7 linked regions of the Bombyx mori genome follow. The main gene of each other region encodes a partner of the protein of the gene in region 2 in a complex. Links are inferred from orthologs where the notes say so. Each region holds a gene or a part of one and is shown on either strand. Other genes may lie near its edges. The genes, in order: E3 ubiquitin-protein ligase RNF113A, splicing factor 3B subunit 2, U5 small nuclear ribonucleoprotein 200 kDa helicase, pleiotropic regulator 1, pre-mRNA-splicing factor ATP-dependent RNA helicase DHX16, protein CWC15 homolog and serine/arginine repetitive matrix protein 1.

Evidence for each region.
Region 1: splicing factor 3B subunit 2 (region 2) and E3 ubiquitin-protein ligase RNF113A share a complex: the UniProt entries of both Homo sapiens proteins name them as parts of the minor spliceosome. The link is inferred for Bombyx mori from reciprocal best matches to the Homo sapiens genes SF3B2 and RNF113A.
Region 3: splicing factor 3B subunit 2 (region 2) and U5 small nuclear ribonucleoprotein 200 kDa helicase share a complex: the UniProt entries of both Homo sapiens proteins name them as parts of the minor spliceosome. The link is inferred for Bombyx mori from reciprocal best matches to the Homo sapiens genes SF3B2 and SNRNP200.
Region 4: splicing factor 3B subunit 2 (region 2) and pleiotropic regulator 1 share a complex: the UniProt entries of both Homo sapiens proteins name them as parts of the minor spliceosome. The link is inferred for Bombyx mori from reciprocal best matches to the Homo sapiens genes SF3B2 and PLRG1.
Region 5: splicing factor 3B subunit 2 (region 2) and pre-mRNA-splicing factor ATP-dependent RNA helicase DHX16 share a complex: the UniProt entries of both Homo sapiens proteins name them as parts of the minor spliceosome. The link is inferred for Bombyx mori from reciprocal best matches to the Homo sapiens genes SF3B2 and DHX16.
Region 6: splicing factor 3B subunit 2 (region 2) and protein CWC15 homolog share a complex: the UniProt entries of both Homo sapiens proteins name them as parts of the minor spliceosome. The link is inferred for Bombyx mori from reciprocal best matches to the Homo sapiens genes SF3B2 and CWC15.
Region 7: splicing factor 3B subunit 2 (region 2) and serine/arginine repetitive matrix protein 1 share a complex: the UniProt entries of both Homo sapiens proteins name them as parts of the minor spliceosome. The link is inferred for Bombyx mori from reciprocal best matches to the Homo sapiens genes SF3B2 and SRRM1.

The regions. Positions count from the first base shown.
Region 1 is NC_085108.1:7,585,715-7,590,278, forward strand, and holds the start of E3 ubiquitin-protein ligase RNF113A, read left to right. Parts: upstream 1-1,504; 5' UTR 1,505-1,754; coding exon 1,755-1,848; intron 1,849-3,118; coding exon 3,119-3,270; intron 3,271-3,821; coding exon 3,822-3,974; intron 3,975-4,564. UniProt on the Homo sapiens protein: Required for pre-mRNA splicing as component of the spliceosome. As a component of the minor spliceosome, involved in the splicing of U12-type introns in pre-mRNAs. E3 ubiquitin-protein ligase that catalyzes the transfer of ubiquitin onto target proteins.
Region 2 is NC_085131.1:3,909,612-3,913,600, reverse strand, and holds part of splicing factor 3B subunit 2, read right to left. Parts: intron 3,892-3,989; coding exon 3,741-3,891; intron 2,353-3,740; coding exon 2,149-2,352; intron 1,601-2,148; coding exon 1,525-1,600; intron 313-1,524; coding exon 156-312; intron 1-155. UniProt on the Homo sapiens protein: Component of the 17S U2 SnRNP complex of the spliceosome, a large ribonucleoprotein complex that removes introns from transcribed pre-mRNAs.
Region 3 is NC_085130.1:11,240,228-11,244,216, forward strand, and holds part of U5 small nuclear ribonucleoprotein 200 kDa helicase, read left to right. Parts: intron 1-660; coding exon 661-812; intron 813-1,297; coding exon 1,298-1,430; intron 1,431-3,541; coding exon 3,542-3,689; intron 3,690-3,989. UniProt on the Homo sapiens protein: Catalyzes the ATP-dependent unwinding of U4/U6 RNA duplices, an essential step in the assembly of a catalytically active spliceosome. Plays a role in pre-mRNA splicing as a core component of precatalytic, catalytic and postcatalytic spliceosomal complexes.
Region 4 is NC_085129.1:1,617,227-1,621,752, forward strand, and holds the start of pleiotropic regulator 1, read right to left. Parts: upstream 3,102-4,526; 5' UTR 2,873-3,101; coding exon 2,757-2,872; intron 2,470-2,756; coding exon 2,342-2,469; intron 1,868-2,341; coding exon 1,631-1,867; intron 1,212-1,630; coding exon 1,125-1,211; intron 603-1,124; coding exon 517-602; intron 156-516; coding exon 1-155. Other genes in the region: uncharacterized protein LOC101740918, read right to left, coding at 4,125-4,526. UniProt on the Homo sapiens protein: Involved in pre-mRNA splicing as component of the spliceosome. Component of the PRP19-CDC5L complex that forms an integral part of the spliceosome and is required for activating pre-mRNA splicing.
Region 5 is NC_085110.1:11,482,014-11,486,002, forward strand, and holds part of pre-mRNA-splicing factor ATP-dependent RNA helicase DHX16, read right to left. Parts: intron 3,644-3,989; coding exon 3,507-3,643; intron 3,071-3,506; coding exon 1,507-3,070; intron 847-1,506; coding exon 444-846; intron 359-443; coding exon 137-358; 3' UTR 1-136. UniProt on the Homo sapiens protein: Required for pre-mRNA splicing as a component of the spliceosome. Contributes to pre-mRNA splicing after spliceosome formation and prior to the first transesterification reaction.
Region 6 is NC_085110.1:8,228,253-8,232,405, forward strand, and holds the end of protein CWC15 homolog, read right to left. Parts: coding exon 4,088-4,153; intron 3,832-4,087; coding exon 3,552-3,831; intron 3,336-3,551; coding exon 3,231-3,335; intron 1,211-3,230; coding exon 1,073-1,210; 3' UTR 862-1,072; downstream 1-861. Other genes in the region: protein 60A, read right to left, coding at 1-281. UniProt on the Homo sapiens protein: Involved in pre-mRNA splicing as component of the spliceosome. Component of the PRP19-CDC5L complex that forms an integral part of the spliceosome and is required for activating pre-mRNA splicing.
Region 7 is NC_085128.1:8,258,014-8,262,002, reverse strand, and holds part of serine/arginine repetitive matrix protein 1, read right to left. Parts: intron 3,940-3,989; coding exon 3,812-3,939; intron 2,757-3,811; coding exon 2,662-2,756; intron 1-2,661. UniProt on the Homo sapiens protein: Part of pre- and post-splicing multiprotein mRNP complexes. As a component of the minor spliceosome, involved in the splicing of U12-type introns in pre-mRNAs. Involved in numerous pre-mRNA processing events.

The sequences.
Region 1 (4,564 bases), on a different chromosome or scaffold from region 2:
TATTTATAAAATTATGGCATCGGTGTCGGTCCTTGATGCGTGTTGAAATTTTCGAGTTGATTAAAAGTCTTGAAGTCGGCGAAAATGACGTTCAGAGACTTCACTACATACAGACATACATACAAATTTTGGACAATACTACCTACTCATCAAAATTAATCACATTTTTACAAATCACGAAAGGCGAGTATGAAAAGTATTCTGGGCTCTTCAGAAAAATTATCTCTTATCATACTACATAATTAGTGATCATTCTTAAATGTTTTTTGTGGCAGCCATTAATGGTGTATACAAAATAATTTATCTATGCGAGCACACAATACCTATACACAATTATTATTTTTACAGTTTGCATTTTATTACACGATGTCATTCTTTTATTGTGTTTCATAAATGTGCACTTCTCATAACGGTCATCTAAGAAATACAAAACGGGGCCGCGTTGCAGAATACGGCAATATTAAGCCTGACAAGTGACAAGCAATCAGTGAGCGCTGTAACCTGTGACGTTTTAATACAAGGATCGATAAAACTAGACTGAGTTTTTTGTGCATTCCTTAAAATATCAAGTCGTCGTGCCCTAAAGGATAAATCGTCCGGTGCATTCGTGTTGAGCGATGCACCGGTGTTCGAATCCCGCAGGCGGGTACCAATTTTTCTAATGAAATACGTACTCAACAAATGTTCACGATTGTCTTCCACGGGGAAGGAATAACATCGTGTATTAAAAATCAAACCCACAAAATTATAATTTGCGTAATCACTGGTGGTAGAACCTCTCGTGAGTCCGCAAGGGCAGATACCACCACCCTGCCTATTTCCGCCGTGAAGCAGTAATGCGTTTCGGTTCGAAGCGTGGGGTAGCCGTTGTAACTATACTGAGACCTTAGAACTTATATCTCAAGATGGGTGGCGCATTTACGTTGTAGATGTCTATGGGCTCCAGTAACCACTGAACATCAGGTGCGCTGTGAGCTCGTCCATCCATCTAAGCAATAAAAAAAAAATTACACCCTAAACCTTTTAGCATTCAATATTTCCAGTTTGTATGGTAAATTATGATTCCACTTCCACTTTATTTCAAGGCAGCTAATGACTTTATTAATTTATCTATTTATTATTACTATAAAAGAGACATGAACATCGTGATAAGAATAGTGTTTATTATGTCCATTACAATGTTTGAGTTTTAACTCTGGTTTCAACTTTTAACAGTAGTAGTAGAAAGGGCTTAAGTGTGAAAAAAAAAAGAATTCCTCAATGTGGCTGTGTGGCTGCTCGGGTCCCTTCCAAATTGCCTAGAAGCCTCAATAAGTCTCCGCTAATTTACTGACAGGCTATTTTATTTCATCTTATACAACATGTACGGCTTTCTCTTATTTAACCTTATTATTCCATATGCTAATTTAAGTTTTGATTTAACTTCAGGCATTGCTATAAATGTTTAAGCTATGTTGTATGGGCAGTATTCCCTCCATTCAATAGACAAATCATAGTTTAAAAAAACAACTATCCGTCAAAATCAATCACATGTCAATGTTAAAAATGAGCATTATTTTGATCATTGCCAATATTATCATGTTGTGAAATGCAAAAATTAATTAAAAACCCTATAAATACCGACAATACTTGAAGGTCCTAAAGTGAAATACAGTACTTTTATTTAGTATTATTGTGTCCTCATTAATGATTATGTAGATATTACTCTAATATCGTAGTAAGCACACACTAGGTTGAATAAACAATCGTTCAAAATGTCAGACGCCGAAGTGGAAGTACTCAGTACTTTTAAAAAACGTAATATTAAGAATAGGGGTGGCAGAAAACGTAAAACTTCCAGTTCAGAAGGTAATATTGATCGTTAAGTTATTAAATTATTCTCCAAACGAAAGACATCTAAGAATAGTACATTAAAACTATCTCATCGCTTCTTCATATCCTCTTTCTCACTGTTCCCAGACCCCCGTATTATAAGTGCTTTTATTAAGTGTATAACTACTAACTATAAAATTATAATTATATGTAGCGCATTATTCTCTGTACATAATCTTTATTATAATATGTAAGTTTGTAGTAACATTAATTTTGTGTTAGTCCCAGGCACCATTAATATAGCCAAAATTGGATACTTTTTATAATATAAAGTGTGTTTAAATAGCTCGACAATGTTCCATATGTAGCCATAACACGACACTGGCAGAAATTGCTGGCAGAAACTATCGGCAGATTACCATTATAAAAAAAATATATCGACGCTTGAAAGGCAAAAGTGACTAAGCGACAATAACTGCTTTGCACATAAATGATAGGCAATAACCATATTCGATCCGCAAAAAATATATATTTCTAGGTCTATTAAAATTATTTCAATCCTACAGCTACTAGCTAGTTTCTACTACAACTGGATTCGTTAAAATAAATTTTGTTTTCATGTATTTCAACTTTAAATTAGTCTACCGTAAAGTTCACGCATTGTCGCTTAGTCACGTTTGCCTTTCAAGTGTCGATATATATTTTATCATATGAGGCCGTCAGCGCAAAAGCAGCCTAAGCGTACTATAGTTATTATGGAGCAATGAGGCTTTAGTTTTCATGAATTTGAATTTGAGTTGGCAAAAAAAACAATATGCGCTAAAATAATGATTACAAAGCCATCTGCTTTCTATGGGTGAAACTATGGATAGGCCGGTTTTGCATAAAAATTTATTATATATTAAATAAATTGCAATATACATGATTATAAGCATGAAAAATTGTGGGTTAGGCCACTTTTGCGCTGACAGCCTCATATATACTTGATATTTTTTTTTTTTATAAATATAAATATTTACTAACAATCACTCCACGTTAACTGGTCCCGTGCTAAGTTCGTAAAGAACTTGTGTTACAAGTACCAGATAACGGAAATAAATATAATATTTTTATTATACACATATATATATATATATATATATATATTTAATATACACCCATAACCCTGGAAAGACATTTATATTTATCATACAAATATCTTCCCTTGGCGGGATTCGAACCTGCGACCCCCTTGTGTAGTGACCATGTCACTTACCACTACACCAGACGGCTGCTTAATATATAATTTAATATAGTAACGTTTCAGAGAAAAACAGCTCGGACTCTGATGAGCAACAAGTAGTTCTACCAACGAAAAGGGTGAACAAACCAAATCCAAACATACAGTCTACAGGAGGTCCGAAGAAATCCAAAATTGATGTAATTGAAGATAATGATGATAGTAATGATGAAGAAAAGGTATAGTAACATTAACAGCTCATCATCATCATCAACTCACTTGGATATCATCAGATTTGATAATCTGATCTATAATGAGATCTGCACCTTTGAAGCACCAGATATAAGATATCATAAACAGGCTGTTGGTCCATCTTGTAGAAGGCCTACCCACACTTCAAATCTTCACATACTTCATACATATTTAGATATATAATAGCCACTTGAGAACTTTTGGTTCCAACAGCCTGCTTGCTGCCATTTCAGCCTTTCGGGTTGTCTTTTTTTATTCCTTAAGTTCTTAAGTGGTTACAGGAGCCCATAGACATCTACAAAGTAAATGCCGCCATGCATCTTGAGATATTTGTTAGTGTCTCAGTTATATCTCCACTGAAATCAATATTATCAACAATTAGAGCAGTTTATCTTTACTTAAATCTGGCACACATCTTTTTATCTCTTTAATCTTTTTACACGTCATCTTTATGTTGAAGTCTTGTCTTCTGTATTGAACATAAAAAAAAACCGTTTTAAGATCCATTTAGATCAACATAAGCTTACAATTCTTTCAGACTTCTCAAAGGACAACACTATCGGTTCAACAACAGAGAGAGAATGCAACAGCTACCTATGAATTAGACACAGAAAAGGATAGAGATGCCCAAGCCATCTTTGAGAAGGCTCAGAAGATCAATGAAGAGTTGCACGGACAAGCAGATGATAAGGTATCCATTTCTTCTTCTTCTTCTTCTTCTTTGTCGTTTCCTCATTACTGAGGATCGTGACCACCTTGGTCCAGTTTTTGCACCAGCTTCCTCCAATGTTGCCTGAGGGAGAATGCGGGAGGGACAGCGTAACCGCTCTAATGTTAAAGAGCCTAGGCTCGGATGGTACCAAGATTTTACACTCCATTTGCCAGAAAATATGGCGTACTGGCCAGTGGCCTGAAGACTGGACGGAATCAATGTTAATTCCTCTCCATAAAAAAGGCTCCACGCGCAAATGTGAGAACTACAGGTATCCATTTAACAGTATTGAAATCGCACACTTCGTGGTTACTTTAGTGACAGTTAGCTTATAATTTTTTATATGGTTAATACTTATCAACCATACCGTACTAACTTCCATACCAACTTCTGCATATCTTAATAAATTATAATAAAATATGTGTGTAATTAAGTTGGTTCTTATTGAGTGCCTCCTCAAACCTGGCTAGTCAACAAAGTGTAAATGTCTGTAATGCTACACTGGAACTTAGTAATACTAATAAAGTTATAAATTATTGGTCCTGTTTCGTAGATGTATGCAAATCTAG
Region 2 (3,989 bases):
GATTAGTGCACTTTTACAGATACTAAACAGTTAATAAACCACCGTTATGACACGTTTAAACCCGAAGAAACACTAAATAGACAAAATAAAGCAAATCACACAACTTCACTCCTCGCATTCCCGCCAAAATTGCGAATTTACTCAAAACGAATTACCCGTCAAGATCGGAGTCCAATTTCTTTTTCCTGAGTTCAATGCTGTCGGGAGTCTCGAGTCCGGGCGGCACGGAGCTGAGTCCGAGCGGCGTGGCGAGTCCCTCCGCGGGAGTGCCGACCCCGCCCATCTCTGCCTCGCCCTCCTCGCCCGATTCCTCTGTATACAGCATACATTCAAGACGAAATTTTCACCATTTTCATTGCAATGTTATTCGACTTTGACAGATTAATCGCCATGCGGAATTATTTTCAAATATCGCACTAACAATGAATTAATAACTTTATGACTTAAAGGTCTTAGTTACCAGGTCATAAAATCACTTAAAAAAAATATTAATGATTTCGGTTCAAAGTCGTAGTACTCCGGATCGGGAAGAAAGAAATAGATTTACATTAATTGTATGAATTCGTGAAAAATTAACGAAATTTTAAAACGTATTTTCTTATTATTTACATATCAAAGGCTTTTTTCCACAGGAGAAAATCGCCGGATCCCCATCCGCGCAGCGGGTGGGTTATGTGGGAGTTGAACCTCACTAAAAACTCCTGCCGCTCACAGCCGGCGCCCTACCTCGGACCAGGCCGGAGCCCAGTTGGAGTTATTGAGACGGCGGGACAGGGTTTACGCATAACAGATTACATCCATCCCGCCGTACCCCAGACGCCGGACCGGCGGTCGTGTCGCCGGCGGGATCTATGTGATATGCTATGGATTGCCACGTTCGACGGGCCGGGAGCCCACCTTGAAGGGTAAAAGGCTATTTGGTGTAAGCGACATTTGAGTCGTCTATTATCAAAGGTGGCAATCTGTGCATTTGGACAAAAAAAAATTATTGATATGTCAATACAGATTGATTTGAATATAATCGTCTCCTTCAAAGAATACGGTTCAAAACCTGCATTAAATAAAGGTTAATAGTTAACCTGTTATTTATCTAAGATGTCTTTCTGAAGAGTTTTGTGACTGCCAATGGAATACAAAGTCAATAATTCGTTTTTCTGATTTACCAATAATTATCCAAAAGTCAGATTGCCGGCTTTGATAATAGTCGACTCATTTATCTTTGCAATTAAAGATGCGTTTTATTTGATATTAGCATCAACAGTTCGATGTTTTGGACTTCAATTAAGTTTACTCCATTCAAATAGCTGAAAAAGCTTGATTTTTTATGATATCTTTTCCCAGTTTAAAACTTTAAATGGCTCTCCTGTAAATTTGCGAAATGTCGCTTGAAGCAAATAACCTTTCGCCCCTCGATAAGGGTTGTAAGGGTTGAATATTAATTTATTATTAGTGCAATATTTGCAAATCATTCCGAGGGATCCGCATACGTGCAATCAAAGAAAAAAAGAGCACCCAAATACTGACCCTCCTCCGACTCTTCTTCTGATTCAGACTCCAGTTCGCCCCACATTGTCCTGTCGATGTCCACGTCTTCGCCGTCCTAGAGAATTAAGATTAAACAATAAATTACATTAACATTATGTACTTATTATGAGATAATTCATTTGTGCATTTCAATTTGCAATATGAGGTATCACATGATTGAGACTTTAGTCTTGTATGTACGCAAAGGGGGTAGGAGAATTCTCGTTATGATATCTACAGGTTCTGGTAACCATTTAATATGAGATAGACGGTCAATTAATTATTATGTGATGTTGACAATTATGAGATTAATTCAGAAAATTATTCAGAGATTTGCACAGAACATTTAATATGAGTTTATTGTAATATTTAATAGGGGAAAGAAATGAAAAAAAAAGGAATCATCTTTGAAAAAGTCAAAGTTTCTACGGATATGTTGCAAGAGTTTGAGCCTTATTATCATTGCCACACGACATTAATATTTCATCCGCAACGTAGTATAACAAAATTCATCAGGTTTGAGCCCCGTGAGCTCACCTACTAGTTAAGGCGACGCTGATATAGCCTCTCAAGGCTATCAGCAAAGGAGGATTAAAAAAAAAAGTATGACAAAGTCCAACTCACATCTTGTCCACTCGTCTGATGTCCGAAGACATCTCCGTAGAGCGGTTTTCCCATTTCGTCGACGGGCGGTTTGCCCCACCCCCCGGCGTGGTAGCCGAAGGCGCACCCCTCGGGTATGGGCGCGTTGAGGCCGGGGATCTTGAGGTTCGGGTACGAGGGCGGCGGCCCGTACCGCTGCTGCGCGATCAACCACGGCGGTGGTACCTATAAAAATACATTTAATGTCCTTCGTTAGCAAATATTGTATTTAATAATCTATACTAATATATAAATCTACAGTGGTTTTTACGGATGTTCCGTTATAACTACTGAACCATGCATCCGATCGACATGAAACTTGGTATCCATGTAGACAATACATGTACTTAATGGATAGGCTAATATTTATATGAGTATTGGACTCCCTACACCAGTTGCGGGGGCGTTAATGATGAGAATCTTTGTGGGGGTGAGAAATAGTAATGTTAATTTTAAATGCCCAGCGTAGCGGACGGGTACACCTAGTTAAATATAAAAATGTTTTAAAATTAAAATATTTATTACATAGCTATGTAATGTTTTCACTTCAGAAATATTAAATTTGTTACTGGGAAATTTATTGTACTATTTCAATTAACTTAGTACCATTTAGATTCGAATAAATCAACCAGGGGAATTATTAATTACATTTGAATAAAAAAATCTGAGAAGTGGATGAGGAGAGCCGCCGACCGGGCTCAGTGGTGTAGATTGGGAGAGGCCTATGTCCAGCAGTGGACGACTGTGGGCTGTTGATGATGATGATGATGATGATGAAAAAAAATCTGTTTTATATACTATATTTCGAGTAACTGTGTCAATTAACATAGAACAACTTTCCGAGAATTTTAACCTTTCACAGACGTGTACCATCACCCTGTCTATTTCTGCTACGAAGCGATAATAGGTTCCGATTGGTACTGCCTAGACGTTGCAGCCAGCTAATATGTTGAAATGGTCTCCACAATCGCGCGTATTATGAAATAAGATGTTATCCACAACAATCGAGACTTTTTGGCGGGAACGCGAGGAGTGAAGTTGTGTGTTTTGTTTTATTTTGTCTATTTAGTGTTTCTTCATGTTTAAATGTGTAATAACAGTAGTTTATTAACTGTTTAATATATGTGAAAGTGCACAAATGTAGGAAAATGAAACAAAGCCGTTGCGGGTTTCATTTTTATTACACGATATTATTCCTTCACCGTGGAAGTCAATCGTGAACATTTGTTGAGTACGTATTTCATTAGAAAAATTGGTACTCGCCTGAGATTCGAACATCGGTTCATCGCTCAACACGAATGCACCGAACGTCTTATCCGTTAGGCCACGACGACTTCAAAAGAGAGATTATATTTCACCTCATTTAATTTTATTTCATCCCAGTTTTTTTTACGTCTCAAATCAATCATCTTTATTTCATTTCACTCTATATTATCATTTTTCATAAAAATAAGAATATAAATTAAAATAAGACATAACCTAAAGGTCTTAGTACCCACCCACGTCATAAAATCCTTTAAACAAAAATCCACAACAATCCGACAACATCATTGACATGTTCACGTTAACGATACCTTCTGTGAGCCGGGCCCGACGGGCATACCGAGAGCAGTTCTCAGTTCCTCGGACAGATCTCCGGGCTTCTTCTCGCGCAGACGAGTCTCGAACTCTTTGCCTTCGTAGTACAGATCTCCGTGGATTGTCATACGCGGTTTTGTTTGCCATCTATAAATACAACAATATGAGAATCAAATATGATCTGAGTATATTATATTATTTTGAGTCCGCGCGGGTAGGTACCATCGCCCTGCCTATTTCTGCCG
Region 3 (3,989 bases), on a different chromosome or scaffold from region 2:
TTAAATGTGTAATAACGGTGGTTTATTAACTGTTTAGTATATGAAAGTGAAAGATGCTCATATGTGGGAAAATAAAACAAAGCTGCTGGATGTAACTTCTCGGGATCCTCCAAAAAGTCTACTGACAAAATCTCAGTAAATGACCACCATTTTACTGAGATTATATTTCATCCCATATCATCTCATTTCATTTAATTTCATCCCGGTTGATTAATATCTCAAATTAATCATCTTCATTTCATTTCACTCCATGTTATCATTTTTCATATAAAAATAAGAATATAAATTAAAATAAGACATGACCTAAAGGAATTAGTTACCAGGTCATAAAATCACTTAAAAAACAAAAGATTCTATACTAGCGTTTTTCATTTATGCCTTAGACCAGGGGTTCCCAAATTTATTTTCTCTACTGCCCTACTTTGAGAATAAATTATTTTTTTGCGCCCCCATTATTTCACCTACTTAAAAACCACTATAGCGATAGCTCAGTCCTGCTAGATTATAAGTTACAAATCGCTTCCCAAGCCTCTATATAACGCCCCCATTTTTTTTTCTGGGTCTCTTACCGCCCCCCTTTAGGCCTGCAGCGCCCACGAGGGGGCGTTTACGCCCACTTTGGAAAAGGCTGCCTTAGACGGTGTTGTCACTAATTTGCAGGCACCTGTCGGACCACCTCTCCGAGCTGGTGGAGACTACGCTGACGGATCTTGAGCAGTCCAAGTGCATCGCGATAGAGGATGAAATGGATGTCCAGCCACTGAACTTGGGGATGATAGCCTCATACTACTATATCAACTATACGACCATAGGTAACCTGGGCTTCTTTTTTTTAACTGTTTAAATGGGTGGACGAGCCCACCTGGTGTTAAGTGGTTACTGGAGCCCATAGACATCTACAACGTTAATGCGCCACCGATCTTGAGATATAGGTTCTAAAGTCTTAATATAGTTACAACGGCTACCCCACCCTTTAAACCGAAACGCATTACTGCTTCACGGCAGAAATAGGCGGGGTAGTGGTACCTACTCGCGCGGACTCACAAGAGGTCCTACCACCAGTAGAAACTCCTTCTCTCGGGACTGTTCCTCCACCTAGAGCCGGATCCGCTGGTGTATCGTATATGAAAGGCTCATGAGGGATCAGTCTTGCTTCGAACAGCCTTATAGCATCTTGGGAAGACGGGAGTTGATCATAGCGTTCCCACAAATATTGTATCAAGTCTTGAGTGAATTTTATTTATAAATTTTCTTAGACTTCAAGGCGATGATTTAAAAAAAATGTTATTTCTTTCAGAACTGTTTAGTTTGTCTCTGACGAGCAAAACGAAGATCCGCGGCCTGCTCGAGATAATATCGTCGGCGGCCGAGTACTCGGACCTCTGCATCCGACACCGGGAGGAGAACATCATCAAATCTCTCGCCTCCAAGTGAGTACACGTTCGGTTTGTTCGTCATCTTCATGTCATTCTTCAAACGCAGCGGTCGGGGGGAACCGGGGTGAATTACCCCCAAATGGGGTAAAATGAAATTTGAGGGGGGTAAAAATAAAATAAATAAATATTTAATAACAATCACGCCACGTTAACTGGTCCCGTGCTAAGTTCGTAAAGAACTTGTGTTACAGGTGCCAGATAACGGAAATAAATGTAAGATTTTTATTATACACATACATATATTTAATATACATCCATAACCCTGGAAAAGACATTTATAGTATTTATCATACAAAATATCTTCCTTTGGCGGGATTCGAACCCGCGACCCTCTTGTGTAGTGACCATGTCACTTACCACTACACCAGACGACCGTTTGAAACTTTTGTGAGTAAAAAGTATATACCTATCATCATTCTACTTATGCAACAAAGTGTGGAGGCAGGGAATCTGTAAATTATGCCACATGTTTAAATTTAGGTATTATTAGATTATTTTTTTATAGATTAGTTTATATTATTTTAGTTTTAGAAGTTTAGTTTATTATTTTATAGATTAGATTAGTTTATAGATTAAGAGTCATTCCCGATCCTGCGGACAGAATGGAAAGCAGTCGACGTCGCCCAAAACACGTCATCTCGGATCCTCCCGATCCACTAACAGTGCTGTTAGGTACAATACCACAAGCACCGGTCCCGGTCGAACCCGTCGCTTGCGACCAAGGGCTCGACGAGTAAATTAACTCTCAGACACAGCCCACTGAGTTTCTCGCCGGATCTTCTCAGTGGGTCACGTTTCCGATCCGGTGGTAGATTCTGCGAAGCACGGCTCTTGCTAAGGTTCGTGTTAGCATCGTCGTGAGGCTTGAGCCCCGCGAGCTCACCTACAAACGTTAGGGCGAAGCTGAAATAGCCTCTCAAGGCTATCAGCATAGGTAGGCAAAAAAAAAAAATTAAGATTACAGGCAGCGGCAGAATAACAGCGATAGTTTCAGCTATCACAAAGCTGAGCCGCGCCCTTTTTATCTCCACTGTCAGTTTAATTAATATATTGTAATATTGTTTAGATAGAATTAGAAATTGATGTCATATAAATTGAAAAGTTATTTGTATTGTGGAGTAAATAAATGTAATTATTATTATTATTATTATATTGAAGTGAAACTTCTTTAGAATCGTCAAATTTTTACTTATTGTTTTCTTTTCAAAATTATCATGGGGGGCTATAATATGAAAGAGGCTAAAAAGAAGCGATTTCGTTTTTTTTGTTTTTTTGTTCTTCACCATGGGGTAATTAATATCAAATTACACAAAAATATTTTGGGGTAACAATTAAAAAAGTTCCCTGACCGCTGTTCAAATGAGATGGAGGGTACTCACTCGGCATTGCTGTCGATGATCGAAGGCTACCTACAACAGACCTGTGAGATCAATATTTTTTCCTGTGAGATCATTATTATTTATTTTTCATTTTTTAGTTGAATTTTAATCTTTTTTTTAATATTGAATTGTCATCGGTCCTTAATAAGTATACCAAATTTCGAGTTAATCCGACGTTATGAAGGGGGGTCAAAATCATGTTTAAAGATTCCGTTACAAACACACATACGTCTGAAGCTAATAAAAGCGTATGAAAAAAAACGTGTGCAATTCACACGTGTAAGAAGTGAAACCTTCAAAAATTAAAATATTCTAAATATTCTAAAATGTCTAAGTATATGTAAAATTTTGTTAGTTGTTTTTTTAGTTAAAATTTCGTTAGTAAATAATTGTAAATCATCTTTTATAGTATGAGGTAGTGCCCTCTGTGAATTGATATTATAACTTCACGTCTAATGTGTTCTATCTCGTTCTCTCGCCGGCTGAATCGTATACATTTATTTGTTTGTGTCTCTATGGACTTATTTTTTCGTTTCATCGAGTTTCAAATCACGACGATTCTAAAGAAGTTTCACTTCAAAATAAGGATGGAGTCGAAAAGTTTTCCTACGTTTGCCGCTAGGGGCGCTGTTCTAACTGCATACAAAATTAAGTTAACTTTTACGCTATCGAGAACATTGACGCACTCGCACTGAGCATCCCCCCCCCTGTCCCCGTCCGTTGCAGGGTCCCGCACAAGCCGACGGCCCCGTCTGGCGGCGCCGTGCGGCACAACGACCCGCACGTGAAGGCGCACGTGCTGCTCCAGGCGCACCTCTCCAGGATGCAACTACCCGCCGAGCTGCAGGCCGACACCGCGCTCGTGCTCACCAAGGTACGATCTTTGCACTCTCTTTTAACCCTTCGACTGCCATGTATTAAAGGTCCAGAGCGCCCTAGGCAATCACTTTATCTGCGCCCCTGTACCGGCCATAAATGGCCACCATAATAGTGTAAATATAAAAATGAATTGCTGTTCGTTAGTCTCGCTAAAATTCGAGAACGGCTCGACCGATTGGGCTAATTTTGGTCTTGAATTGTTTGTGGAAATCCAGAGAAGGTTTAAAAGGAAGATAGATAAATATGAGAATGCTTGGAATTAAATAAAAATAACAATTTTGTTTTTATTTTGATT
Region 4 (4,526 bases), on a different chromosome or scaffold from region 2:
TCGGTGTGCGCGGCGAGCGTGTGCACGTTGGCCTTGCTGCGCACGTCCCACACGCGCGCGGTGCCGTCGCGGCCGGCCGACACCAGCACGTCGAGGCGCGGGTGCAGCGCCAGACACACCACGGCCGACAGGTGACCGTGGTACTGCCGGATCACCTGCACACACAACGAACCGATCCTAAATACAAAAATTCATCTGCTTTATATACATATAATTATATGGAGTATTTCAGAATGAATAAACAATAATGAATTAGTTGTGGTTTCTGTGATATAGTAAGAAAGCAACATATAAAGCCCTTAACCTCAATTAAAGAGTAAACAGTACATATTATTAATAATAAACTATACAAAACTGAACTCTCTTTTTCACTTCACTCCATGACACTGAATAACACTGAAGAAAAATCCTTTTTAAAATCTAAATAGTTTTAAATAATAAAAGTTTTCTTTACATATATTTAAAGACATATCATTTAACCTATATTTTTTTGTTATTTATAGGTCAATAACTCACTTTGTTATATTCTAAGTCCCAGCACTTCACCTGTCTGTCCTCACCGCAGCTGAATAAATATGGATGTCTTGGTGACACTACCACTCCTGAAATAGAATATATTCATATTACACATACTGGTACTTGATGGATTCTTAGATCATGATTTTCACAATTAACATAGACTCAACCTACGGTCTCTGTGCGTACAACATGATGAAATATCCAGAACTGTGTTAATGTGAAAATTATGATCAGAACTTGTTATGTAATTCTGTAATATACATAGCAGCAAAAGTTTGAAAAAATTAAAAATGTCTACTATTACTAAAATAAAAAATTACTAAATTAATTAAGGAACCGAAGATTGGGTTTAGTGGCGAGCTTTGGGGAGGCTTATGTCCAGCAGCAGACTGCCGCAGGCTGATGATGCTAAAAAAATTACTAATTTAGTAGGCAGCGGCTTGGCTAAGCCCATGGCATTACTGAAGTTCCTGGGCGACGGTAACCACTCACCATCAGGTGGGCAGTGTGCTTGTCTGGGCAATAAAAGAAAAATGCGTTCATTATTCAAAATCTGAAAACCAAGCATTGATTTTTGCATGAATACAAAAAGTGTGCGCACCTACCTCTTACTGTACTCACATGTCCAGTGAGAGATACTTTTAGTTTCCCACTTGCTAAATCCCATACTTTTATCACTCTGTCAGCGGCACCTGAAATATCAAAACCATCATGCAGATTAATTCCTTAGGATTGGTTTTATTGTAATGGTTGTGCTAAAAGTTCATTATAACAGAAAAATGAAGTAACTTTAATCATAAATCAAGTTTATTTTTTCAACCGTTCATAGGACAACAGCTTGTCTACACAAATACAATATATTGATTATCTAACTGTCAAAGTTTATGTTTTGTGTTGTATTGATAAAAAAGTCTTATAAATAAGTATATTTAATATGTAAAAATCAAACTTTATATTAATAAAATTTTTAAGATTGACAAATTTGTAATTATAATTCTTACCACATATCCTTCTTCTAATTTATACTAAAAGGATTAAATATATTAGTTAAATGTTGGCATATTAGATGCCATTAGTTTGCTCTGTATGTGGTTTCTATAATTTTACTTACCGGTAGCAAACCACTCATTTCCAGGTTCTACAGCAACACATCGAACCCAACCCAGATGACCTGATATAACACGCATTAATTTCCAGGGTGGGTGCCATTTTGGTTTGGGCATAGACGGCGGTTTCCGTGGTACAGTTAAAGCCCCCGAGGGGGGAGCTGGTGACGGTGAAGGTGTTGGTCCAGAGTATGGGACAACAGCCCCTTCCGACGGCAAAGGTGCAGTTTCCACTGTTTCTGCTAAAGAAAACATTCGATTTATTTCATTGCAATATCAAGGAGTATTGGACCGATTTTTTATTGAATGTAATGAGCATAGAACTCATGAGGTCCACAGCTAAATTCTTGCTGTTTTTTTATCATAACGAAAATGCAACTTTGTTGTAAAAAAAATTCCATAAAAATGAATAATTTTTTTTTTGTTTCTGTATTTGATCCATATTTCTGGAATGTTCTCGATTTTTGTAGAGATATCGTATTGACTATAAAAGCGTTGCAGAGATGACATGAAAGCAGTTATTAAAAGGATCTACTCAAAGCGAAACAGCAAACGGATCACCTGAAGCGAAGCGGAAGAAGTGAATTACGAATTGTAAAGTGTTTGGTAAGTGTTCTTAGTTTTAAATAGAGTTTTAATATGTACTTCAGTGGAAGTTTTATTTATCCTGAGCCTAAGCGCTTAACCGTATATAGGAGTTTGTTAATTGTTTTTACCTGTGGTCAGTGGAGTTTCAGGTCTACAGGTGACAGACTCTTGTTGTTTCAGGGCCTGAGCCTTCCGCACTGCACCCATGACTTGTCCGTAACTATCTCTTGCTTTAACCAATTTCAGTACTTTCTCTCTGTTAATGTAAAATTATAAATAATAATTATCTACTCTAGTGTTTTATGTAGTTATACATAACGTGACATTTTCCTCTAATTTATTTACCTTGACAACATTGTCTGCTCCCATAAAGGTTTTCTCCAGTACAGTAGAAAGTTTTAAAGGTTTAGCAGAAATTTTTTGATACGGAACAACAAATCGCTTAGTTTGTCTATTGTACCGATCTTTGAAATAGCTCATCGATTATTTCCATTAGGACTTGTATTAAACTAACCTCAAATAATATTATTCTGTTTTACTTACGCTTTATCGTCGATTGGCGGCAACATTCCTTGATTAGCTAGGAACATATCGTGCGATCTTTTCAACGATCGAAACACTAAAGTGTGTACAGAATGTTTAATCACGTCCTCAGACATTATGAAGTTATTAATTAATGTCTAAAATTACTTAAAGAATACGAAATACTATTAACTTGTAATATTAAATCAGCATTTAAATTCAATTTTATTTTTAATTAATGCATATTCCTTATGATTCTTACGAAAAGCTTTTTGGTTTTAACGGTGTCGAGACCAAGAAATACCCGACAACAAACAGCAACAACTTTCCTACAAAATAAATCCTACGTCAAACAAACGTCAAATGGACGGTATGAGCAGCGTCACTGTCAAGTGTCACTGTACAGATAATAAAAAATTTGGGCAAATGAATGCAAATCTCGATTAGCCTGCAACAAACATAATTATTATGATTTTTTGAAATTACCATTTTAATTGTTTTAAAACAAACATTTTAAATTCCTCTTATTGAGCTGAAATACTAAAGGGTATTTGAAGAAAAAATTTATTGTTTGTTGTTTATGCTTGTTGTGACGGATAGAAAGTACGGATTTGGCTCAGAATTTTATCAATAATTTAATTAGAGTTTGCTCCTAGAAATGAAAAAAACACTGTTTACACAACGTCGATTTTATTCATAAGTACAAAATTCGAGCATAAAAATTCATTGCGAAGAAAATTGTGGAATTGATTTTCAATAAAATACACAGTGGACTATATCTATATTTACCTCTAAATTCACAAGTAGGTACGAACATGACTAGAAATTGTGCTTACAGACTAGAAACTAGACTAGATACAGCTGCTCACTAGTTTTCGAATATTTATTGATTTAATGATAGCTATTTGTTATGTTAAATTACATACAATAAACATCCTCCAAAGTATTATTTACATTGTACAGTGTGCCTGGTGCGAGTTGTTTTAACTTCTCGATCGTGTAAAAGTTACTCAAAATTGTATGGAGCTGGGGCAGTTACTCTGCGTTTGCCGCTAAAGGCGCTGTTCCAACTCCATACAAATGGTACTAAGCACATTGTACTGTTCAACACACAGACTTGGAATACTTAATAAGTGCATACACAATATTTACATAAACACACAATTACCGTAAAAGAGCATTTTAGTATTTATGAACGAATGTTAATCACTGAACTACCAGAAATTTCGACGACGATTTTTCAAAACTAAAAAAGCATTACACTCAGTGAAACAAGAGTCAATAGTACGGTTGTTAAACGAGACGGTCAACGTTCGAATTTTCAATCGACTGCCAATCGTAATCGATTTCAGTTGTATCGGCGACGGAGAATACCGCGCCACTCTCGGTTCAGATGGCCGATTTCTCTGGATTATTAGCGTCGCTAACGCGGCGGGAGTGGGGCGCGCGGCGCAGCGTCCTCGGCTGAAGGTTCAGAGGAGGCAAGTTGGGGCGTTCGATCCTGGTTGGCGATGACACGAGCGGTCTCGTTCTGCGCAGCGTCTCGATACCGTTACGGAAGTAGTCCTCAGCTCTATCGCTGTAATTTTCTATCAGGGGCGCCGGGTCTTCGTATTCAACATTGAAGTGACGGGTGATGGCCAAGTCTTCGGGTGGGCCGAGTTTGTAGAGAGGGGGTTCGACGCACTCGTAGTGGTGGTCCTCCGTATCGTCGTGCGGGTAAGTGTCGGCGACAAAGTGTCTCGTGCCTCTCGGCGTGAGGGCCGCCCACAGCACTCGTGAATCCAGAGC
Region 5 (3,989 bases), on a different chromosome or scaffold from region 2:
CAACATTGGTTCTACATTTAAATCACAAGGAAGTGTAAAAAAAGTGGAATGTCGTGTTATGAAAACCGAAGAACAGGATCAACAATAAACGGAGAAAGTGGAAACTTTTATTGAATCTACTGTAATCAAATTTTTACTAATTTTTTGCAGATTTCCCCAATGTTTTGGGCATTTTCTTATTTGTTGAATCTTCTAATTCCTTTGATTTGTAATAATGAGGCGCTACCTCCAGTAGCCATTTGCTCTCAATTTCGGTGACTTGTCTCATAAATTCTTTAGATGTAAATACAAGCTCATGGTAAATCACCCATCGTGGAAGGTCTTCAAATAGAGCACTATTAGGATGTATCATAACTGTCTGAAAGCAATAAATATATTTGGATAGATTTATAAGAAAAAGAAAAAAACATTATTTTAACTATCAAGATTTTAAGTTTCGTTACCTGATTATGTTTTACAGTTTTATAATGACCACCTTTTGAAAATTTTGCTATATGATAGAAATAACCAGACGTTATAGCCTTTCTTATATTAGTATCATCAGATAAACTTGTAACCATTTCAATTTCTACCCTTTCCATCAGGCTGACTAATTGTTCACGAACATCTCGAGCTCGTTTCATCGATCTATACTGCACGAAGTTTTCATAACACCACTGCACCGAATAATCTGAAGCAACCCACTGATTGTATAAGTTCATAATTGTCAGATGATCTCCTTTGTGATGAAAGAAATTTTTTCTTGCTGTATCTGCATGGATTATTTTATCTTTAGGCCGGTAGAAGACGGAGCTATTTACTGATAGCATTGCTGCAATTGTGACAACCTCTTCAGAACATTTATATCTGTAAGACAAGAAAAATGTGAGAATTAAAGTGATTTTGAGACAATCTGAACTGCTTTTAATTAGAGGGTATGAGTGGACGCGTTCGCATTTATCAGCTACTAACTACTTCTTCACCCACAATCTGTAAGTCTGTAGTATAAAGTGTGGAATAAAAGTTTTGTTGATTTGATTGTGTTGTACATTAGTTATAATAAAATTATCGATATCTCCACAACAGCTCTATCACTAGTCATTATACAAATTTATAAAATTTACCAGGTTATTACACAATGTAAATCCTTCATTCCAGATGCGAATGTTGAGATAGATGTGTGGAGTGACAAGAATGGATAAGATGAGGAATAAGTATATCAGAGGAAGTATGAAAGTAACCCCGGTAATTAACAAATTAAAAAGCGGATAGTTAGCGTGGTATGGACGTGTGATGCGTAGAGAGAAGATGCATGTGACTAGGAGATGTACGGAATTGGTAGTGCAAGGTAGAGAGGAAAGAGGTCGATCGAAGAAGACGGATGGAGTGTGTGAATGACGATATGAGAGAGAGAGAGAGTAGTGAGTGTTGAGCTGTTGGCTGATAGTAAGATGCAGAAAAAGAAGAAGTTAATCCTTCATTATGAAAGTTAGTTATGAGAGAATGACTTATGTTTACATTACTTACTTTTCACTAGCTAACAACATTTTCGCGAGCATGGGGTCGGTAGGAAATTCAGCCATCCTTCTGCCTGCTTTTGTTAACTCTCCATGATGATTAAGTGCACCCAGAGCGTAAAGTTGTTCTAAAGCCAAAACTAATGTTTCATGCGGTGGTGGATCCAAAAAATCAAAATGTATTAGATCATTGATGCCTAAAGCTTTTAAAGTGAGAACTGCATTTCCTAAATTTATTCTCTGAATTTCTGGTACAGTATTATCTTCTAATTCATATTTATATGCCCAGGCTGTGTACAATCTAAAACATTTTCCAGGAGCAACCCTTCCGGCTCGTCCAGCTCGTTGATTTGCTGATGCTTTAGAAATGGGAACAACAATTAAACTTTCCATGCCAGTCTTGGAATTGAAGTTGTTTTGTTTGGCAAAACCTGGGTCTATTACGTATATAATATTATCAATTGTCAATGAAGTTTCAGCTATATTTGTAGCAAGAACGACTTTTCTAGCTCCTTCAGGAGTTTGTTCAAAGATTTTAGCTTGCATGTCACTAGGCAAATTGGCATATACTGGTAATATTAAAAGCTCGCGCAGTTTTTTGCCTATACGCTTCGTCCTTTCTTGTAACATTTCAACACATGTTTCAATCTCTTCTTGTCCTGTTAAAAAAACCAATATATCACCAAGAGGTTGTGTGGCATGAATCTGTAATACTGATACAACACAAGCATCTACATAATCTGCTTCGGGTGCCTTTGTGTAATAGATGTCCACAGGAAATCTCCTTCCCGGGATTCTAAAAATTGGGGCATCTTCAAAGAATGTTGAAAATTTCTCAGCATCCAATGTTGCGCTGGATATAAGCAATTTTAAATCAGGTCTAAATCTGGTTATATCTTTTACAAGACCAAATAATATATCTGTATGTAAGGTACGTTCATGAGCTTCATCAATGATCATTACACTGTATGAGGCTAGATCAGGTTCTGATAGAAACTCTCTATGAAGAGTTCCATCTGTCATGTACTTTATTACTGTTCTATCAGATGTGCAATCTTCAAATCTTATACTATAACCAACTTCATTTCCCAGTTTTACGTTCATTTCTTGTGCAACTCTTGCAGCAACTGACATAGCAGCTACTCTCCTAGGTTGTGTACACCCAATTTTTTTCCCATCTTTAGTGAAACCAGCTTCATGGAGATATTGAGGTATTTGTGTTGTTTTGCCAGATCCTGTCTCACCTTCTACAATTAGAATTTGATAATTTTGTATGGCTTCAATAAGTGATTGTTTAAACGCATATATTGGAAGTGATTTTTTTGTTTCTTCAATGGTCATTCGAATTTTTTGATATTCTGATATTTCTGACTTTTCCTTTTTGTCTTCAGAACCTTCCATTTTAAGAGCCTGTATGAAATCAATTTGTTCATCCAGTAATAAATCATATTCATTTGTAGCTTTAGCATCTTTTGCACCAAATTTAAAGAAAGCAGATTTAATTTGTTCTTGTTCCCATTTTTGCTGTTCAGAATGTGGCAACCTCTCATTTTCATCAACTTCAACATATTCACCTGTAATATACAATTAGTAGGTTATATACAAGATGTACAAGCAAATAATTTATTACTGATTACAATTTTTTAATTATTTTCTTTTGTTTTGTTGATTTGTAAATTTTGAAATTTTAAAATGAAAGTATTGGATGAGAAATAAACAATATAGAAATTTAAGACCAAACTGAATATTTGAAACTTCACAATTAAACTCTATATGATTTACCAAACAACATCATTAATAAAATGAAAATATTTCAGAAATTTTGTTCATAGCTTGAAAAACTTTTTGTCCATAATTTAAACCTTCATTTTATTAACGTCAGCTAAGTTTTTTTCATCCCATAATTTGAAATACATAATTAAATATTTTACATAATTAAATTTCTCTTAAGGTTTGAAGCTTTGTTTAGTTCTTCATTTGAAAGGTTTCTTTGTAATTTTGGATAATTACCTTTTTCCCCTTTCCCCAAGTCCCGAGGCATATGATATCTTTGAACATTTTCTAACTCTCTTGCTTTTTCATGTTCTTTAGCTAATTGTAATAAAGTTTTCTTGTGTTCCCTTTCTTCTTTTTCTCTTTTTGTTAGGCTATAAAGACAAATGATATGACACATTTTAAACTATTAATTTTGTTTTAACCAAATGCACTTTATAATAATAATCTTAAAATAAGTTATTTATAATTAAAATTTAAGTATTTTGTTTGGCTGTAATTTTATTGTTCAATTTCATCTGGTGTGAAATAATTAACAGAGTGTGTACTGAAATGCAAGGCATAATCGGACTTGGGACTAAAATTCAAGATCTGAATGTATTTGATAATGGCTTTGCCATTATACAAATTAGAGCTTATCATAGCTTACAGCAGAAATATTATTATTGAAGATATGATTTAGGGATGAAATGCAATTCAATCTCTCATACTAATACTGAT
Region 6 (4,153 bases), on a different chromosome or scaffold from region 2:
CGTGCCTGTTCGTGCTCCTCAGCCAGTTGCTTATAAACGTCCAACAGGAAACTTGGAGCCGAACGATCCAAAGGTGGAGATTTAGATCTTCTGGGTCTTTCTCCTAAGCCTAAAAGATCTAAAATTTCATGTTCTACTACCATGCGCTCGTGTCGTGTAATCGTATGATGAATTATCGTCTGATCAACACCATTGTCAATGTAAAGTCCGGAAAGTATGGCATCGGTGACCACAGTAAACAATGCAAAACACGCACACACCAACTGCACAAAACCAGCCATATTCGTTGTGAGAGCGTCTGCGACTGGCTAGTGGCGAGTTAACGAGATGTGAGACGCGTCATGGCCAGCCGCGGGATCTAGCTGTGGACCTGCCCACTCAAGGTAGGCCGCCGCCGCCTGCTCCGCACTTACCACTGCCTCCCCTCTCACGCCTCACTCACAACGCCGCAATAATAAAAACATTCAACTTCGCCGGACACGTCAGTCTGGTCAGTCCGAACTCCGAATGTTAATAAGTTAATTTAATAATTATTTATTACTACCATTAACAATGCAGTTATGTACTTTAACGGGTGGCGTATTGATTATCAAATCGGGGCAGTAAGTTTGAATTTTTTGTAAATTAATCTCTTTAATACCTTCCCTAATTTAGTTTGGATACCCCAACTACCAAGATTTTTACCACTGAAACTCAGAAGTTGAGTCTCAAATTTCGAACCCGAAAGCAATGTTCGTTGTTATATGAGTAAATTAGACACATTATGCTAATGAACTGACCTCTATCTGTTGTTGAGGAAACAAACATTACTTTTTATCAGTAACGTGACATTAACTTGAAAATAAACTTTATAAAATACTATTTGTTTTCATATAATTTATTCAAAACAACAAAATGACATTTTTTTCATAATATTTACTAAAATTATATTGGTTTTCGTCAATCTTTTCTTTACGTGTTTGTAATATCCATAGTAGCATTTCCACTTCGTTATCACTATTCCGCTTACAATAAGGTATAGAATCGCTTTTAACAACTTTAAATTTAGAATTACAATATCAATAATGATTTACTATTTCACGTACTTTTCCATAAATTTCTTATGGAACTCTGATCTTAATGAGTCATTTATAAAAGTATTAGGTTTCTTTTCCGGTTCAGAACGAGCGCAATTTTTGAAAACAACGTCATCATCCCATCTTCTTTTTACCTGGAACAACCCAAAAAAAATATAGATATAATATTACGATTGTCCTTTTTTTTTATTTGCATAAATGGGTGTACGAGCTCACAGCCCACCTGGTGTTAAGTTGTTATTGCAGCCCATAGACATCTACGACGTAAATGCGCCACCCACCTTGAGATATAAGTTCTCAGGTCTCAAGTATAGTTACAACGGCTGCCCCGCCCTTCAAACCGGAATGCATTACTGCTTCACGGCAGAAATAGGCTAGGGGATGGTACCTACCCGCGCGTACTCACAAGAGATCCTACCACAAGTCGTTACGCAAATTAAAATTTGCAGGTTTGATTTTTATTACACGATGTTATTCCTTCACCGTGGAAGTCAATCGAGAATATTTATTGAGTACGTATTTCATTAGAAAAATTGGTACCCGCCTGGGATTCGAACACCGGTGCATCGCTCAACATGAATGCACCGAATGAGTTATCCTTTAGGCCACGACGACTTCTTAAATTCTTCTTAATCGACCCTCATAGATGAAGGTTGTGACTCTCATAACTCAGTCAGTCTCTCTCTAATGATATCATGTAGAGGCCTAATGACGAGTTGTGCTGAGTGGTGCCTCTGGGCGTTCCAATACCGGATTCATCCAATGCTTGAGCAGATTATGTTAATGTTCTTAAAATCACTTTCAATTACTTTTGCATTTTTGTATGGTATTTATTAGTGGGTGTACAAAATCACAGTCCCTGTGGTGTCAAAACAGCAACCAGTGTTTATAGAACCGAAAATGTAAAATAATGAATCAACCAAAGTCTAAATGAAATTATTTAATAGTCTTGAATCCTCAATATCTGCCGCTACATATGCATAATGAAAGGAAAAATAATTTTTTTGTGCATTATTAAAGTATTCCCTGTGGAGTATCAATGATATTGATTCAAATACAAGTAAACCGAAAACAATAGCAACAATACGTTTTAATAGTTATTTTTATAGCATAGATAGGTGAACAAACTTATGGCCAACCTGGTATAAAAGGGTTATCTGGTAGTTGTCAGTATACTTCACCAATGAGATATCAAAACAGATACTGATTGAATATTATTTGCACATGTTTCAATACACATCATATTATTATCATATGGCAAGGATATCTAAAATACCAATACACAACAAAAGCTCTGAATAATTATAATCTAAGTGAGACCCAAGTTTATAACCACTTAACACCAAAAAGACAATGCTAGACATACTTGGAAGAATGAAAAATAATATCTTGAAACAGATTTGAAAAGTACCATAGTGTACCAGAACAGAAACATACAACACATACATAAACATACAAACACATAAATATGCCATAAAAAAAGTAAAACACAGATAGTATTGTTACTATGGAATAACAAAATAACAAAAACAAAACACCAGCAAAACAACAAATGCCAATTAAAAGATGCATTTAAATTATTTATCAAGATAATCCTGGTCAATGTGTAATTTAATAATGTAGTATCATGAAACTGACTAGCCAGAATGAAGAACTTGTACTACAACAAATGAATACCTACCCACTGCAGAAACTAAAGGTCATCTACACTTTTTTTATTCCTTTGATGGGTGAATTAAGTTCATGGCCCATAGAAATCGACATCTTAAATGTTGTCACCCACTATGAGACATGAGTTCTAAATATCAGATTTTATACCAAACGAAAACACATTACTACCCCATTCTACTGCCATTCATTAAGCAAATTATAATTTTGGTGGGTTCGATCTTTATTAAACACTATTTGTTCATGATGGAAATCATTTGTCAATTTACGTTAAGTATATATTTCATTACCATTGGTACCTGTCTGCAGGATGAGAGCACCGGCACAGTCACATAGCTTTATACAAATGCACCGGGAGTCTTTATCTTTTAGGGCACAATTACTTCAACATTGATAAATACAACATCAATGACATCTGCAGTTCAGTTCAATCACCAAACAGTTATCAGGAGTTAAAACAAAATTCATTTTAATGTTTTTAATTACCTTCATGTCATTCTTCTGTCCTGCAGCGGAGTAGTTGAGTAAAGGATTACCCGATAATATGTTCTCCATTCTAATTCTTTCCTCTTCTTGTTTCTTTTCAGCTTCCTATAAGGTAAAACAAAATTGATTTGTGCAACAAGGTTTATTTGTTATTTGAATTTTATTTAGTTTGGGTATCAAAATACACTAAAGTACACTAAAGTTAGACAAATTAAAAAAAATATATATTGTAAAATTTAATTTAAACATACTTTGTGTACATCAGTACAAAAATAGTCTTATAGTATAGTATCTAACTCTAGTATCTAAGATATATCTTACTTTTTTAGCTTGTTCAATGGCCCTTTCCTTCTTAATTCTGTTTAATTCTGCTAGCAATGCAGCAGTATCATCATCTGAATCATCAGAGTCAGTGGAATCGCCTTCAAGAGGATCATCAGCATCAAGACTTGCTGCAGGAACTTGATCAACCTTAGTTCTTTTTGCTTGTGGTTCACTTGTACGTTTTGTAGTCGTAGTTTTAACATCTTTTTCTCTATCATCCAACTCCTTACGAAAATCACGAGAGCGTAATTCCTCAGATGTCCCTTGACCTGATTCCCTATTAAAATAGATTTTAATATTTGACTTTTTCTTTACATTTTGGTGCATTACAAACGTGGTATTTATGCTTTGAACGAGTTATACATTGTGGTTTTGAAGGGTAGCGTATTTTCTAAAACAATAATTCAAGTACTCTACCTTGTCTCAAGATGGCTTTTTATGAGGTCCGTTAAGCACTTACCACCACGCGGGTCGTAAGTCCAACTTCGCGAATAGGAATCCAAATTTAGATCGAGAAATAAAACTAAACTAACCTGTATTTAAGTTTCGTATGACCAGGAAGATCTCTGCTGGAATACTGTCGAGAAATAGCACTTAAG
Region 7 (3,989 bases), on a different chromosome or scaffold from region 2:
TCTCTCGTCCTGATCGTCGAACGACGACCGGGTATCGAAGAGTTTGGCGGTATATGTCAGCAGATTGGGATGGATTGCGTGAATTTTACGCATCCTACCCATGGGAGCGGTTCTGCTTTTCCTCTGCTGATCCTGACGTCTGTGCGGACCGACTTAAAGACGTGGTGCTCCAGGGGATGGAATTGTTTATTCCCTCCTCTGAAGTGCCCGTTGGGGGTCGCAGCAGACCCTGGTATAACAATGCCAGCAGGGATGCTGCACACCTCAAGCGGTCCGCATACGTGGCATGGGATAATGCCAGGAGACGTCGGGATCCTAACATCTCAGGGGAAAGGCGGAAATATAACGCCGCTTCCAGGTCCTACAAGAAGGTAATTGCCAAGGCGAAGTCGGAGCACGTTGCTAGAGTTGGCGAGCGATTGAAGAGCTATCCCTCCGGGAGCCGTGCTTTTTGGTCGCTCGCCAAAGCTGCAGAAGGAAACTTTTGCAGGTCTAGTCTCCCACCACTGCGCAAGTCCGATGACAATCTGGCCCACAGCGCGAAAGAGAAGGCTGACCTTCTGGTCAAACTCTTCGCCTCGAACTCGACTATGGACGACGGGGGTGCCACACCACCGAGCATCCCCTGGTGTGATAGCTCCCTGCCGGATATCTGCTTCACACAGTGTGCAGTCAGGCGGGAGCTCCGACTCCTGGACGTTCATAAGTCGAGTGGGCCAGACGGCATCCCCGCAGTGGTTTTGAAAACGTGCGCCCCTGAGCTGACACCTGCGCTAACGCGTTTGTATCGCCTCTCTTATTGCACTAACAAGGTTCCGTCTTCATGGAAGACTGCTCATGTCCACCCTATCCCCAAGAAGGGTGACCGGTCGGACCCATCGAGCTACAGGCCTATCGCGATAACTTCCTTGCTTTCCAAGGTGATGGAGCGAATTATAAATACACAACTCCTGAAGTATCTTGAAGATCGCCAGCTGATCAGTGACCGACAGTACGGTTTCCGTCACGGTCGCTCAGCTGGCGATCTTCTTGTATACCTTACTCACAGGTGGGCTGAAGCCTTGGAGAGCAAGGGCGAGGCTCTCGCTGTGAGCCTTGATATCGCGAAGGCCTTCGACAGGGTCTGGCATAGGGCACTTCTATCGAAGTTACCATCTTACGGAATCCCCGAGGGTCTCTGCAAGTGGATCGCTAGCTTTTTGGATGGGCGGAGCATCACGGTCGTTGTAGACGGTGACTGTTCTGATACCATGACCATTAACGCTGGCGTTCCACAAGGTTCGGTGCTCTCCCCCACGCTTTTCATCCTGTATATCAATGACATGCTGTCTATTGATGGCATGCATTGCTATGCAGATGATAGCACGGGGGATGCGCGATATATCGGCCATCAGAGTCTCTCTCGGAGCGTGGTGCAAGAGAGACGATCAAAACTTGTGTCTGAAGTGGAGAACTCTCTGGGGCGAGTCTCCGAATGGGGTGAATTGAACTTGGTTCAATTCAACCCGATAAAGACACAAGTTTGCGCGTTCACTGCGAAGAAGGACCCCTTTGTCATGGCGCCGCAATTCCAAGGAGTATCCCTGCAACCTTCCGAGAGTATCGGGATACTTGGGGTCGACATTTCGAGCGATGTCCAGTTTCGGAGTCATTTGGAAGGCAAAGCCAAGTTGGCGTCCAAAATGCTGGGAGTCCTCAACAGAGCGAAGCGGTACTTCACGCCTGGACAAAGACTTTTGCTTTATAAAGCACAAGTCCGGCCTCGCGTGGAGTACTGCTCTCATCTCTGGGCCGGGGCTCCCAAATACCAGCTTCTTCCATTTGACTCCATACAGAGGAGGGCCGTTCGGATTGTCGATAATCCCATTCTCTCGGTTCGTTTGGAGCCTCTGGGTTTGCGGAGGGACTTCGGTTCCCTCTGTATTTTATACCGTATGTTCCATGGGGAGTGCTCTGAGGAATTGTTCGAGATGATACCAGCATCTCGTTTTTACCATCGCACCGCCCGCCACCGGAGTAGAGTTCATCCATACTACCTGGAGCCGCTGCGGTCATCCACAGTGCGTTTCCAGAGATCTTTTTTGCCACGTACCATCCGGCTATGGAATGAGCTCCCCTCCGCGGTGTTTCCCGAGCGCTATGACATGTCCTTCTTCAAACGAGGCTTGTGGAGAGTATTAAGCGGTAGGCAGCGGCTTGGCTCTGCCCCTGGCATTGCTGAAGTCCATGGGCGACGGTAACCACTCACCATCAGGTGGGCCGTATGCCCGTCTGCCTACAAAGGCAATAAAAAAAAAAAAAAAAAAAAAAAAAAAGTCTCAATTTTGTTATAATATACAATTTCGTTATAATATATGAACACAGTAAATATGAGTCGCCAAGAGTAATTGCATTGTATAACATCAATCCAACCCTTCAAACTGAAACGCAGGACTAGTTTGCCGCACAAATACACCGAATGGTGGTATCTACCCGTGCGGGCTTACAATACGCCCCATAACCAGTTAACAAAAGATAATGTAGACATTTTACTTCGCAACGATAACAGAAGCAAAATCTTACAATACAATCATATTTAAGTGAAAACAACACACCAACAAGTTTATTATGTTAACATTATCACTATCATTGTATTTTTATTTACGTCTACATTAACAGTACCTTTGGTTTCCGGTTCAGTTTTCGCAGGGCTGACCTTGTCTCTGATCGGGCTGCTGCGCCGTCTCGATCGACGCGGACTTCCGCCGTTACGATGCCTAGAGTAATTTTAATGGTCATTATCTTATGTCTAACTAGCTATCATCCTCAGCTACACGCTCCACATTTCGTACCTTTTTTTTCCTGTCTAAGCTGATGACCTTCAGAGACCAGCGTAACCTTAACAAGTAGGTGAGCTCACGGGGTCTCAAACCTAACCCTAGTAAGAGCAGTGCTTCGCAGAAACTATCACCGGATCGGAAACGCGACCCGCTGAGAAGATCCGGCGAGAAACCCAGTGAGCTGTGTCTATGGGTTAATTTACTCGCCGAGCCCTTCGTCGCAAGCGACGGGTTAGACGATGACAGGTGCTTGAAGTACCTAAAAGCTCCGTTAGTAGAACGGGATGATCCGACATGACGTGTTTTGGGCGACGATTTTGTACCACGTTGGGGGTGGTGACTCATACTCAGCAATGAGATAGATCAATGGTAGCTCTTTAACCATTTCCCAGGTTAAAACTAAAATTATGATTTTGACAGTTTTTTTTCTTATTAAATTATACATACGAATATATTTTGCTATTTAACAATTAACAGTACAAGAACACAATTTAAAAAATATTTGTAATTATCGTAACTAATTAGCAACACGCAATTTTAATAAAACAATATATACTACTACTACTCCTAATTAATCAGTTGACTGGCGATAAATAAATGTAATTCCGAATGTGCACAACCAACAGAAAATAGTCACATGGTGATTCTACTGCTCTTCAGTAGTAACCCCTTTTATATTCTATTTTACTCCATGAATAGACTAACTCGAATTTTACTAATTTAATATATGTATGACAGACAACCTTTACATTCTCAAAAATATATTCCAAATGCTTACTCCTTATCACTATGTGGGCATAGTGATAAACGGCGACTGTTACTCTGTTAATGATTTTAAGCGTTTAATTTCAGAGGATCCGCTATTCAACTAAGCACACTATTGTTTTGTATTATTAAATGGGCAGCATAGTATTAAGTATCCATGTGCAATCCACCCCTACTACCACCAGCAATGGATGCTGCTACCTGGAAAATATACGTCTACTACTAACTTTCTGTCACTGGAACGATCACGAGAACGAGTTCGCGAGCGCCGTCGGTCGCGAGAGCGGCGCCGGGAACGCGACCGGGACCTCGATCTCCGTCGCTCCTTGTCTTTGTCCTTGTTCTGCTGCTCCTCCTATTTCACGTAATGTGTTTTCATTTTACAACCAAAGTATTAATTTTCTT